Arabidopsis thaliana: one gene and its partners. The protein of the gene in region 2 interacts with the protein of the main gene of each other region in a pairwise test. Each region holds a gene or a part of one and is shown on either strand. Other genes may lie near its edges.

Region 1 (3,757 bases), on a different chromosome or scaffold from region 2:
TCAAGGATAGGTAAAATCGTGTTCGAATCACCAAAATCGAGAAGATAGAATCCAGGGAGACGACAGTATGAAGAATAAAAGTGAAAAATCTAAGCTTATAGAAGAGTGATGTTACCTTTACTTGAAGGTTTTGCTGAGAGGAAGGAAGCTCGAATCGGAGAAGAAGAAGAAAGCAAGCAACTTTAGCAGAGAGTTTTCTTCTTCCTCAATTAAACTATTTTTGAGGCTCTATTATAAATGGGCCTATCTTTACTTTAATGGGCTTAACTTCTGTCAAAATGAGCCCATTTGTTAACTCCCTAATGATTATGTGACTTCTAATTGTGTGTGTGTTTTTCTTGACATCATCACTTCTAATTGTGTGTTTGCATTTGCAAGGTCTGGATTTGTTTGTTTTTTATTCAGTTTTGAGATCAATTTGATTTTACGAACAAATAACATTGACAGAAATATAAAATAAAATGTAATTAATACTATATTGATAATATAGATATAATTAAATCTTAAACTTTAGATTTTATTTTACCATCCGTTATTAACACATCGATAACACTAACACAAACTACTTTAAATAACCCCAAATCTCACAATTTCAATACTTTATTCCCAATATTTTTAATCTATAAGTAGGGGTGATCCAATACTTATATATTTTTCCTATAGTAATATAAAATGGATTATGGAACTTGAAACATAGTATGCAAAGGTAACATGGTTACAAAAACGAAAGCAGCAATAATCGTTCAAAAAAAAAAACTGATAATTCTTTTATTTCAGATAACAATTTCAAAGAAAAAAACAACAACAACAACAACATGAAAAGTTTGCAGGAGCAACAACAACATAAATCAAGAAAAAGCAACAAAAAGAAGAAAAACAGACACAAGTAAAGAGAATTTGAAGAATCCCAACTTCTTCGAATTAGATGCAATTGAGAGCTGCCTTATTCGCCTTTTTCGAAATCAAAGCACTTTGCATCGCCAAATGCATCTCAATCTGCATCCTCTCCACTTCTCTTTGAGCCTCTAACATTGCAGCTAACTCCGAATTCATCGAGTTTTTACTTCCTTCTCCTTTTTGATCTTCTTTCTTTGCCTCTTCCTCTTTCTTACATGAGTGTAAATGCGTAGCGTAATCACATTCCTTGCAATAATACGACCAGAGATTATCCGGTACAATGTCTTCACAAACATCGCATTTGGAAACTAAACCGGGTTGGTTATAAGGAGAACCGTAAAGAAGAGTAAGTGGATGTGGGTGATCTTCACGCTTCACTGTTTCAGGCATTGAAACACATCCGACATGTACATCGTACTGACAGATTGAACAGTTGTACGTGAAACTTGATCCGTATTCGCCGCAAGCATTACACGTGTACGTTGACTTTGGGGAATAGATTAAAGTCAAAGTGTGGGGTTGGTGAGATTTGTGGTTGGTTTCACGTGGAAGTTCAAAACATGACTTGTGCAAGAAGTAATCACAATCTGATGACTTTGTGCATTTGAAAGCTGCACCAACCAGATCGAGATCACAACCGGAGCAGATGATTTCGTCTTTGGCTTCGCATTTGTGACCGCGCAATGGATGGTTGTGACTCGGGTGCCTCACCGATTGTCGTGAAGACATTGTTTTATTCAATGTTCTTGATTTAGTATTGAGAGGCGTTTTGTTTGTGTTTGTGTTTGTGATTGTAATTAGCTTAGGATTTCAATCTATTTATAGCGTTAATGGAGAAGACTTAGTGATATTGAGTCTTGGTTTTGAATTTGACTATCAAACCAAGTTGTAGTTTATAGTGATTAACTATATAATTGGGAGAACAATGTCACGCTTTAAGTTATATATATATATAATATATTATATATTAAGTATATAACAAAATGGTTCATTTGGGATTCGAAGTCAAGAAATGCATTTCAAAGTCAAGAGATGCATTATGCATGGAATTAGTTTGCGATCTTGTTCACGCATCTGAGTTTTTTTTAAATGTTATAACTATAATTAGCTAATTAACCTGTTGAAATTCAAGATAAATCAAAATAAATATTGTTCTATCATTAGCAAGTTGGGGATAAATACATTAACGTTGACATAGTGACGGATGTAAAAGTCAAACTAATCACAATGCTTTGACTCTAATTAATTAAGGCTGATATCCACCGTCTACTCCTTCGTTTCGTTTCGTTTCGTTTCGTTTCATACAATAATGTTTTTTGGAATGCATACATACTATATTGTAAAATGATTGAATTACACTTTTTTATAAGAAATGATAAAAAATGATAAAAGAATTGGTGGAGATACAAAAATAAGAGATGCTCGAAATAATAATAGAATTGTGAAAACAAAAACAACAACGCATTAAAATAATATGATTGTTTTATTAAAATCATAAATATATATATATATAAAAAAACAAAATATAAATTAACATATTTTAGTTAGTTTATATCTTTGTAATCGATTCGATTATGTTACGCTCACAATCACAAGTTTGAAAATCTTCGTGTGGGATGAATCATAATGGATCCTGTAATAGAAATGTCATAATAAACAGATTACGGAATCCTTGATTATTGATATGGTTTCCTTAGTCAAAAAAATTAGAATCACTGGGGAACAGTAATGGAATTCAATCATGCAAAAATAACTTGTCAATTTATGTTAATATTATGTAAGAGATCCTCATGATTCGAATTGTGATTCATTCATGTAGCAGTTTCACCGATGATCTTATGTGTTATAAATTAGATTAATATTCAGACAAGGTCACACTCACACATTGACATTACATACGATCAAACTCGGTTTCTTACGGTACCATGTCGCGGTTTGGAGAAAACAATGGCAAGGGCATTAAGCCCCTGCCAAGAACAATTCGAGTTCGCATGTTTGACAACTCGGAATTAATCAGAAGGTTAAAGAGGACGACACTTATCGGAAAGATTATGAATCCTGACGTTCAGAGTGTTGGATCACTAGTTTTGATGATGCCTAGAATCTGGAAACTAGAGGGTCAAGTGGTTGGGAGGGACTTGGGATTGGGAACGTTCAGGTTAGATTTCGAGAGAGAGGAAGATATTCTTGAGGTGATGAAAACGGAGACTTTCAATTATAATCATTGGATGCTTTCTATTGTAAGGTGGGAACCGATTATACACAAGGACTACCCATCGGCCATCACATTTTGGGTCCGAATCGTGGGTGTTCCTCGGGATTTCTGAACTGATCAGGATTTCCGGAGAATAGGGAATGAGCTAGGAACTGTTCAAACCTTTTCGGCTACTGTGCTTCTTGTTTTAGTCTTCGCCATGATGAAGAATCTTGCCCACACAGCGACTTGCACAATCATGTTTCGACACATGACGAGTGATTCGAGTCAATCGAACTAAGATGGTTCACATTTGGGATTCAAAGTCAAGAGATTCATGCAACTATTTTCCGAACTCATCCAGGCATCTGAGTTTTTACTTTTATAATGTATGTCGTAATATCGAATTATCATTATCAAGTTGAAGAGTGTGAATCTAATATTAAGCACAATGCTTGACTCTTAAGGCCAATAGATAACTAAAAATGACGATTTAACAAAGTACTCAAATCAAAACTCTTACACTACAAAATAACCCTAAAGATTCTATTTGCGGAATTTGGAAGTAAATATTCCAAAATTACTTAAAACTCAGTCTCACATACTACTAGCATATGTCTTAACTACTCTCAAGTCTTCAACAGTCAATTCTCTAATGAGAAAATC
Region 2 (3,757 bases):
TCGCCTTTAACATACGAGGCGGTGAAGATTCCGGCGAGGAAGCAACGGCTTCGTCTTCTTCTTCGTAGGATTGAATCAGATCCATCTCTCACGATTTTGCTCTCTTACCACAAGTGTTTGAGAAACTTTATACTGAGATTTTGCCTCTTTTCTCTTCGACAAGGGTTTCAAAATTCCTAAATCTAAAATAAGGGTTGCAATTTGTGCGATATTTAGATTTTCAAATATAGCCTCTTACTATTTTTTTCTTTTCACATTTACCCCAATAGTGTATTTTATTGACATTTACATCCCACTGTCTTACTCGGTGGTTAAAATTATGCAAATCTGGACCAATCTAAAATCACGCCAAGCCAAACTGAATTAAACCGGGATGAATAAAAACGAAACGACAACGTTTTAAGGTTTCTTATGTTGACGGTCAACATATTTATCATAATCGAACTCAAAAGCAATTACTCATCTCATATTTAAAGAACTAACACATGTGTGAAAAAACACACTAGCGTTAGCGTAGACTTATCATTTGGGATTTCATGCTTCAAAATATATATATCCATAGATGATTTTCCGTACTCTCTCTTCTATCCTTGATGGATCAATGCCAATCCGACTAATGATAGCCTGCAAATATATGTAATAAAAATTTATACGAAAGACATGACACATGCATATACGTGTGTATTATACAAACATATGCGTGTGGATGTGGTACCTGGGCTATGATTGTGTAAGTGGTCCTATCATTCAAGTTCTGAAGATTAGCACTCATTACTTGAGCTCCTTCTTCTTCAAAAATACTCACAAGCTCGTGTAACATTACTCTTTTCATGTTTAGATCCATGATCAGATTCATTTCTATGGTCGAATCCCGCGAACGAATACTGAGTTTGGGTAGAAGAAACGACCCTTCGTAGAGATTCCCGAGTTCTCCTTGTAACAATGTCCTTTTCTTCTCTTTCAAATAATTTACATTCTCTTTCAATTGGATCATGTATGATGTCGCTTGATCTATAAGGTGAGGCACTGGTAACTGTTTAGATCCCAAAAAAAACCCCAAGATAATTACTTTCATTAATCTTTTACATGAATGTGGTTATATTCAATATATATAAATAAACCGTAAAAACCCTAGCTACGTGAATCATTTATTTGTCAATTAGACACCGTACTTAAAAGAGAGCTAATATGGACGGTCATAGAGGGACAACTGCCTATTCAATTAATCAAAATATTATCTCTTTAGAATAAAACGTACATCTTACAGTAATTATGTAGATAATGTTTGTATTGTTGTATATACGCATAAAACACATCTACAATTTAATATAAGATATATATAGAGAGAGAAAGAGAGAGAGGGAGAGTTAGAGAGAAAAAACGGACCTTGCGAGTGGGAGAAACATGAGAAGAAAGTATAGAGAAGAGATGTTTCATGCGCATCCTTCGATCCTTCTCTCTGAGGTTTCGTTGTTCCCTTAACGACGATGAGTTTCCTTCTCCTATTTCTCTTGCTCTCCCCATTCTTTTTGTTTTCTTTTAAGCTTTTATGTACAAGTTTCTCTTTTCAAATCCATCTCTCTTTATATACAGTTAAAGAGATAGAGAGGGCCGGGAGATACAGAGTCACAAATCTCAACTTTGAGAGAAAGAGCTACGTGATTTAGATGAAAGGGATGTTTTGGAAGAAAGTCATGGCTTTTGTGATTGCGTCCGTGAGCTTACACACTAAATTAATAAGATGCATGCATCTTTCCTACCAAGTAAATTTTACTATTTACTTCGGAATTTCCACGTTCTTAAAGATACAAAAGTTTCAAAACAATTAGATATGTTGTTTATCATTAAAAAAAAAATTAGATTTGTTGGTGGGTTGACACATTACTAGGACGCATCATAATTTCGATGTAAGATTTCTAACGTTCAAAGACATAGTTTAGATAGCATCATGCTTACCGTGTGAGATGAGATTCCTAACGTTCAGAGATATGATTCTTCTTCTTTCAGATTACTAACCATGAGTTTAAGTCCTGTGATTTACAGTAGGTTTGGAGAAAATTATTATCAAAAATCATTTCAATGGCGTAAAATAGTCAACAGCCACGGTAGACAAAAATGAATTCCTTACAACAGTACTATATATGTTTCTATCAACAAATAGAAAAGGAAAATTGTTTTGTATACTGATAGAATCGGGACCACTAAATCAAATAGTATCATCATGTTCAATTAATTTGGTGCACGTATTCATTATCCGAGGAAAGTATCATAAGGCGCCATAACCTAAGATTATTCAACAAGCTATCATTATCATAGAAGAAAAGGACACAACACATTCGGCATTCCTTACATAAATTATTAAAGGCCCTCAACTCTCTTTGGCCGTATGGCCGACATCGTTCACCGGATAGGGGATCTACATGGACCGATCGTCTAAACGTTCACCGGAGGTGAATACAAAGACAGAAAATTAAACATGCCTAGTTTTGTTGAGTCTTGGAGTACTCCAGGTAGATGTTGGTCATAACTTTGCCACTGAGCAAACTGACATAAAAAGTAAAAGGAGCCGCAATATGATACTAACACTGTGTATATATCGTCTCGCTGCTTGACCACTTGCTTAGAAACTGAGTAAGGGACAATTATATCCTTATTGCATTTTCCACATGTTATTCTTTTTTTCCTTCTTCAAATATTTGAATTCGTACAAGAAGAGAATAGTCATTTGGTAACTATCATAATTCATAGCCATTGAAAATCCGTGACTAGAAATACAGATTAGCCCAATTTTAAAATGTTAAGCCTATAATTACTTGTAACTAATTCTGTGGCTAGAAAAGGATGATTACTTATAGTTAGAAAATTTGTAGCGAAATTTTTGTTATCGATCTATATATACTGTCCAATTTATATAAGACATTTAGAAAAAAAGATTTGTTTACTAGTTATGTCGTGTATATATACATGTTTTTTAAGTTTTAGTTAACTATATTCACATACAAAATCTAACCATGTGTGATTTTAGGAGAAAACAAAGATGAATGTCCTTGCTATCGCAATATGAAAAACTCCAAAAGTGGATCCAAATGCCTATGCCCTTGAACATGTTTTGAAGATAGTCATCAGATGCATAACATCTATCTATTCTATGTATGCAAATATCAATTACGACTATTTTAGACGGCGCCTGTAATAAAATATTTGAGCTTAAAATGCTCAATGAAAGAAAATTTGAGAGTTCTTGACAATAAAAGTAGATAATATATTTTATATTTAAACATGAGATTCTATAAACGTAATAGAGATTAGGCATAGAAAGAAAAGAGAAAATAAAGAGATTTTGAAGATGATGTGAGAGGCTTTTTCGTTCATATACTTGAGGAAATGGTATTCAGACATTTGATCATTCTCTTTAACTTAAACAACAATAGGGCTATTACACCAATTCACTCTTAAAAATACTCATAATCTCATGTTTAAAGAACTAACACATTTAATTTGTTAAGAAAAGACTTGTGATTTGGGATTCAATAATGCTTCAAAAAATTAATCATGAGATTATATCCCTTAATCTCTCTTCTATCCTTGATGGATCAATCCCGATCCGACATATGATAGCCTGCAAATATTCATTTAGGTGATTATTAATTTATCATATATATATAGTCCTTCAAAAAAAGTTCAAACTATATTTTAATGATATGGAACAAAGAGATGCTGCTAAAAAAAAAAAAAAAAACATGACACATGCATGTAC
Region 3 (3,757 bases), about 24 Mb from region 2:
TGTGAAAAAAATCAAATATTGCTTCTATGCCGATCTCGATAGCAAGATGAAGATCCTGAAAAATAAAGCACATTAAGTAGGACGAGTTTGTCAAAAGGTTTAAAATCACAAAAATGATTGTAACATTGAATATTTGTTCGTGCATCCACAAACCTCAATAACCCCACGTCTTCTATCAGTAGTTCGGTTGGGAACATCATGGTCTTTGCTTGAGTTGGTCTTGCTAATACGAGGTCTAGATGAATGTTGGTGCCTTCTCGGGCTCGCAGGAATTCTTGAACTTCGTTTATAGAATAAACTTATAATATATTGTGGTATCCATAGCAAGATCCGTACAGGAAACATTAACCACCAAAGAATGAACGTAATCCACTCTGTCCAGTGGTTTTCAGAACTTGCAGAAGTGCTAGCCCAAGAGAGGCGTGAGCTTTGAGATGATGGTGATGGAGGCAAAGGACCATCACTATCTTCTCCAGAAGAATACTCCAAGCTTGAAGTATCAGAATCAACAGAAAGCTCATGAATGAACTCATTGAAAGAAGAGACCCCACTGCCATCAAAAACAGAGTAAAATTAGCATATTTTGAAGGCTTGCAAATAAACTAACAACAGAAGAATCATGAGAAATTATTACTTATGCATCCACCGTGGTAAACGTGGTCCACGAAACGTAGGCCTGAGTTCCCAGCCATGTAAGCCTTCAAGAATATTAGCCTTCCCTGGGAGAAGGGTCAACAGAAGAGCTGATACTCCATTTATGCACCTCGCAATGTTATTCAAAGACTCATATGTAACAGTTTTTACTGATCTGCACTAAAAGCCAAAACATAATCAAAAAGCTTATTTAGTTTAAGCTTGTTAGACAACATAAGGGAAAAGAAGAACATCTAACAAAAAGACGAACCAAAAAAAAAGAAATAGTCATTTCACCGACTCAAAGTTCATAGCCAACATCAACTCTAAAAGACGAAGCTTTGAATGAAGATACTAGAATAAAATGGTCTAACAAAACTCAAAAACACAATCTACCAATACTAATTAACAAAGAGACTTACTATAATCACCAAACGATCAAAAACTTAAAAATCTCTACTTGTCATTTATGAAACATTAGAACAACTATAGGCGCATACACAGATGAATCCACTGATGATCGATAAGAAAAAAGACTCACTCTTTGGTTACAGCGAGAGCGTTGTCCACGATCCGTTGCATTGCTTTTTTCTCAAAAATCAGATTTTTTTGTTTTTTTGGAAATATCAGAAAATTTGAAACCAAAAAACAATCTGATTCGTCGCCGTAATCCGAAAATTATCGAGGAAAACGACAAAGAGAAAATTTCTTATCCACCTGAGAAAACACAAAATTTAGCCAGAATAGAAATCTCTCGATGCTAGGAGATATTGGACCAAATCGCGATCGAGATTTAATCCGAACTCAAAATAAGGAAAACACAGAGACCCACAGGAGCCGCGATTCGAGAATCAAAAATCTAAAAAGAAAAAACAAAATTGGAGAGAATCTGACGAAAATAAAATAAAAATGGGAGAATCCGATTAAATAGGGGCACGTCGGCGATTCTTGCCGTCCAGAGACCAGAAAATGGTGACACGTGGACATGTGTTATTGGATAATGACGAATGTGACAAAAACTACGACACGTAAATTCGACTTTTGGATAACGGAGAAGGTGGATTTACCAAACAGGCAAACACACAAGTACATTTGTGGTTGTTTTCACTTAGAAAAATAGTACATTTGTTGTATGTTAACGTTGAAACATTATATTATACGAAGCTATTTCTAAAGCTTCATAATAATAATAAAAAAGTGTTTAATATTTGCCTAAATAAATGAAAAGATACTAATTACTTAATCCCTAAACCCTCTGACTGTCTCCAAAGGTTCTCGTTATCTTGATCTCAAGCAGCTTTTAAGGGCATTTCCTCTGGATGTAAGAAGCTCCATGCTCTGCATACCTGTCATGTACACAAAAAGACTCAAACCCTAGCGATGAGAAGACACTGTTTATACGTGAGTCGAGATCTAGAGAGCAATCCAATGTGTTACTTACTCAGACTTGGAGAACCACATTTGCTGGAATGAGCCTAACGATGCCAGTATACTACCTTACTTCTACCAAGTCTTTCTCGAGGCGTTCTTTCAATTACTGCATTGATGATGTTCCACCAGAATAATCTGTTCCTAATCCAAGATGAACTCAGCATCGATAAAAGGTAGAGAAACCAGACTTTTCTCTCTGCTGCTGTGAGTTCAGAGGAGGCTCTGCAAGTAGCATTGGGTGCTCCGTGGGATCAATCATTAGACAATTCCTTGAATAATAAACATTTACACAGATGAAATCATCAATCAACTATAAATGGAAAAGATAAAGATTAAACAGTTAAAGACAAAAACTAACAGATTCTGCAAATTACCTAAAAGCATGATCCCATACATTGTCCACCATATCCCAATCAGTTACAATGCCATCCTTTGTAGGTGACAATATCTGGAACAGACAAATGTCAACTAATAGAGAGACCTGAAAATTTATCTTCATCCCTAACCATTTTGAAGTTTAATAAAGAAAACTGACCTCCATTTGATCGCGGCGAAAGTTCAAAGCTTGAGATCCTGTGTAAAGCTTCCTTTTGCCTTTTTCTTTATCAGACTCCTTTGCATCCTCCGTGGTGTTTGCAGCATCATCAATATCCATTCCATTTCCATCTATCGCTCCAACAACCTTATAAGTTATATAACACATCAACAACAGCAACAACAAAAAACCTAAATTTCTCGAATTGCTTGCTCTACACTAAAAGGACCTAACTTTAACCAATTGAAAAGAGAGGAAGTAAAGAATGAGACTTACGGAAGGGAAAACAGCTTTAGGGGCATCTTCTCCGGCGTAACCAGCTTTGCAAGTGTGAGAACCTAAGTCTACTACGATAGCTGACACTTCGTCTGTTCAATATATAAGAAACCCCACCAAGGAAAAGTTTACACCTTTACGAGACGAGCTCAAGCGAAAAGGGAAAGAAGTAATGCTGAATTTGTACAATCAGAGAGAGATTTTAGAGAGGACGAAAATAAAACCTACCTCCACCGTACATGGCTGCCGAGAATGGGAGAGGTGAAGAGAGGTTTTCTCTACCGGAGCTTCGTCGGAAGGTTTAAGAACGGAACCGGAAAGTAAACTATTTAAGTGATTTCACTTTGTCTCGGATTGGGAAGTTGAATATAAAGAAGAGAAGGACTAAAACAAACAAACCTGAAATATGAGGGACTAAAACTAAAGAAACTGAAAACAAAGGGACTAAAATAAAAACAAATATGAAAAAATTAAAAATACGCCGTTGCCGGGGATCGAACCCGGGTCACCCGCGTGACAGGCGGGAATACTTACCACTATACTACAACGACTTTGTTGCTCAAGTTTTCTAAATTTGGTATTTCAATTGGTTAACTATTTCAAATTCTAAAAATTTGTTAACGAGATTCCGGTAACATTCTTGTTTTCTTGTGGTCAACAAGAAGCACAATTTACGAATGAACTCAAAAACACCAAATAAGAAACGAGCATGAAGAACTCAAGTGTTGCAACAAATAAACACACATCATGTGTGCAATAACAATTCATGTCCATAGTCACACACACCAAACCAATTGATTCCAACCTTAAATACTCAGAATCCCCTTACTCTCCCACAAACAAAGAAGAAAGAAACTTAGTCTCCTAGGAAAAAAATGGCTT

Evidence for each region.
Region 1: the proteins of AT1G10585 (region 2) and AT5G40590 interact in a two-hybrid assay, tested with the Arabidopsis thaliana proteins (one large-scale study listed by BioGRID).
Region 3: the proteins of AT1G10585 (region 2) and AT1G73920 interact in a two-hybrid assay, tested with the Arabidopsis thaliana proteins (one large-scale study listed by BioGRID).

The regions. Positions count from the first base shown.
Region 1 is NC_003076.8:16,250,688-16,254,444, forward strand, and holds AT5G40590 (Cysteine/Histidine-rich C1 domain family protein), read right to left. Parts: upstream 1,748-3,757; 5' UTR 1,627-1,747; coding exon 922-1,626; 3' UTR 631-921; downstream 1-630. Other genes in the region: AT5G40595 (uncharacterized protein), read left to right, coding at 2,823-3,089, 3,234-3,392.
Region 2 is NC_003070.9:3,493,581-3,497,337, forward strand, and holds AT1G10585 (basic helix-loop-helix (bHLH) DNA-binding superfamily protein), read right to left. Parts: upstream 1,665-3,757; 5' UTR 1,525-1,664; coding exon 1,387-1,524; intron 1,105-1,386; exon of another isoform or gene 1,076-1,104; coding exon of another isoform or gene 1,034-1,075; coding exon 716-1,033; intron 625-715; coding exon 535-624; 3' UTR 190-534; downstream 1-189. Other genes in the region: AT1G10580 (Transducin/WD40 repeat-like superfamily protein), read right to left, coding at 1-85; AT1G10586 (basic helix-loop-helix (bHLH) DNA-binding superfamily protein), read right to left, coding at 3,551-3,619.
Region 3 is NC_003070.9:27,788,652-27,792,408, reverse strand, and holds the start of AT1G73920 (alpha/beta-Hydrolases superfamily protein), read right to left. Parts: upstream 1,673-3,757; 5' UTR 1,216-1,672; coding exon 1,175-1,215; intron 814-1,174; exon of another isoform or gene 809-813; coding exon 635-808; intron 551-634; coding exon 154-550; intron 56-153; coding exon 1-55. Other genes in the region: ARP4A (actin-related proteins 4A), read right to left, coding at 2,109-2,286, 2,439-2,512, 2,600-2,746, 2,876-2,967, 3,104-3,116; AT1G73890 (Bifunctional inhibitor/lipid-transfer protein/seed storage 2S albumin superfamily protein), read left to right, coding at 3,751-3,757.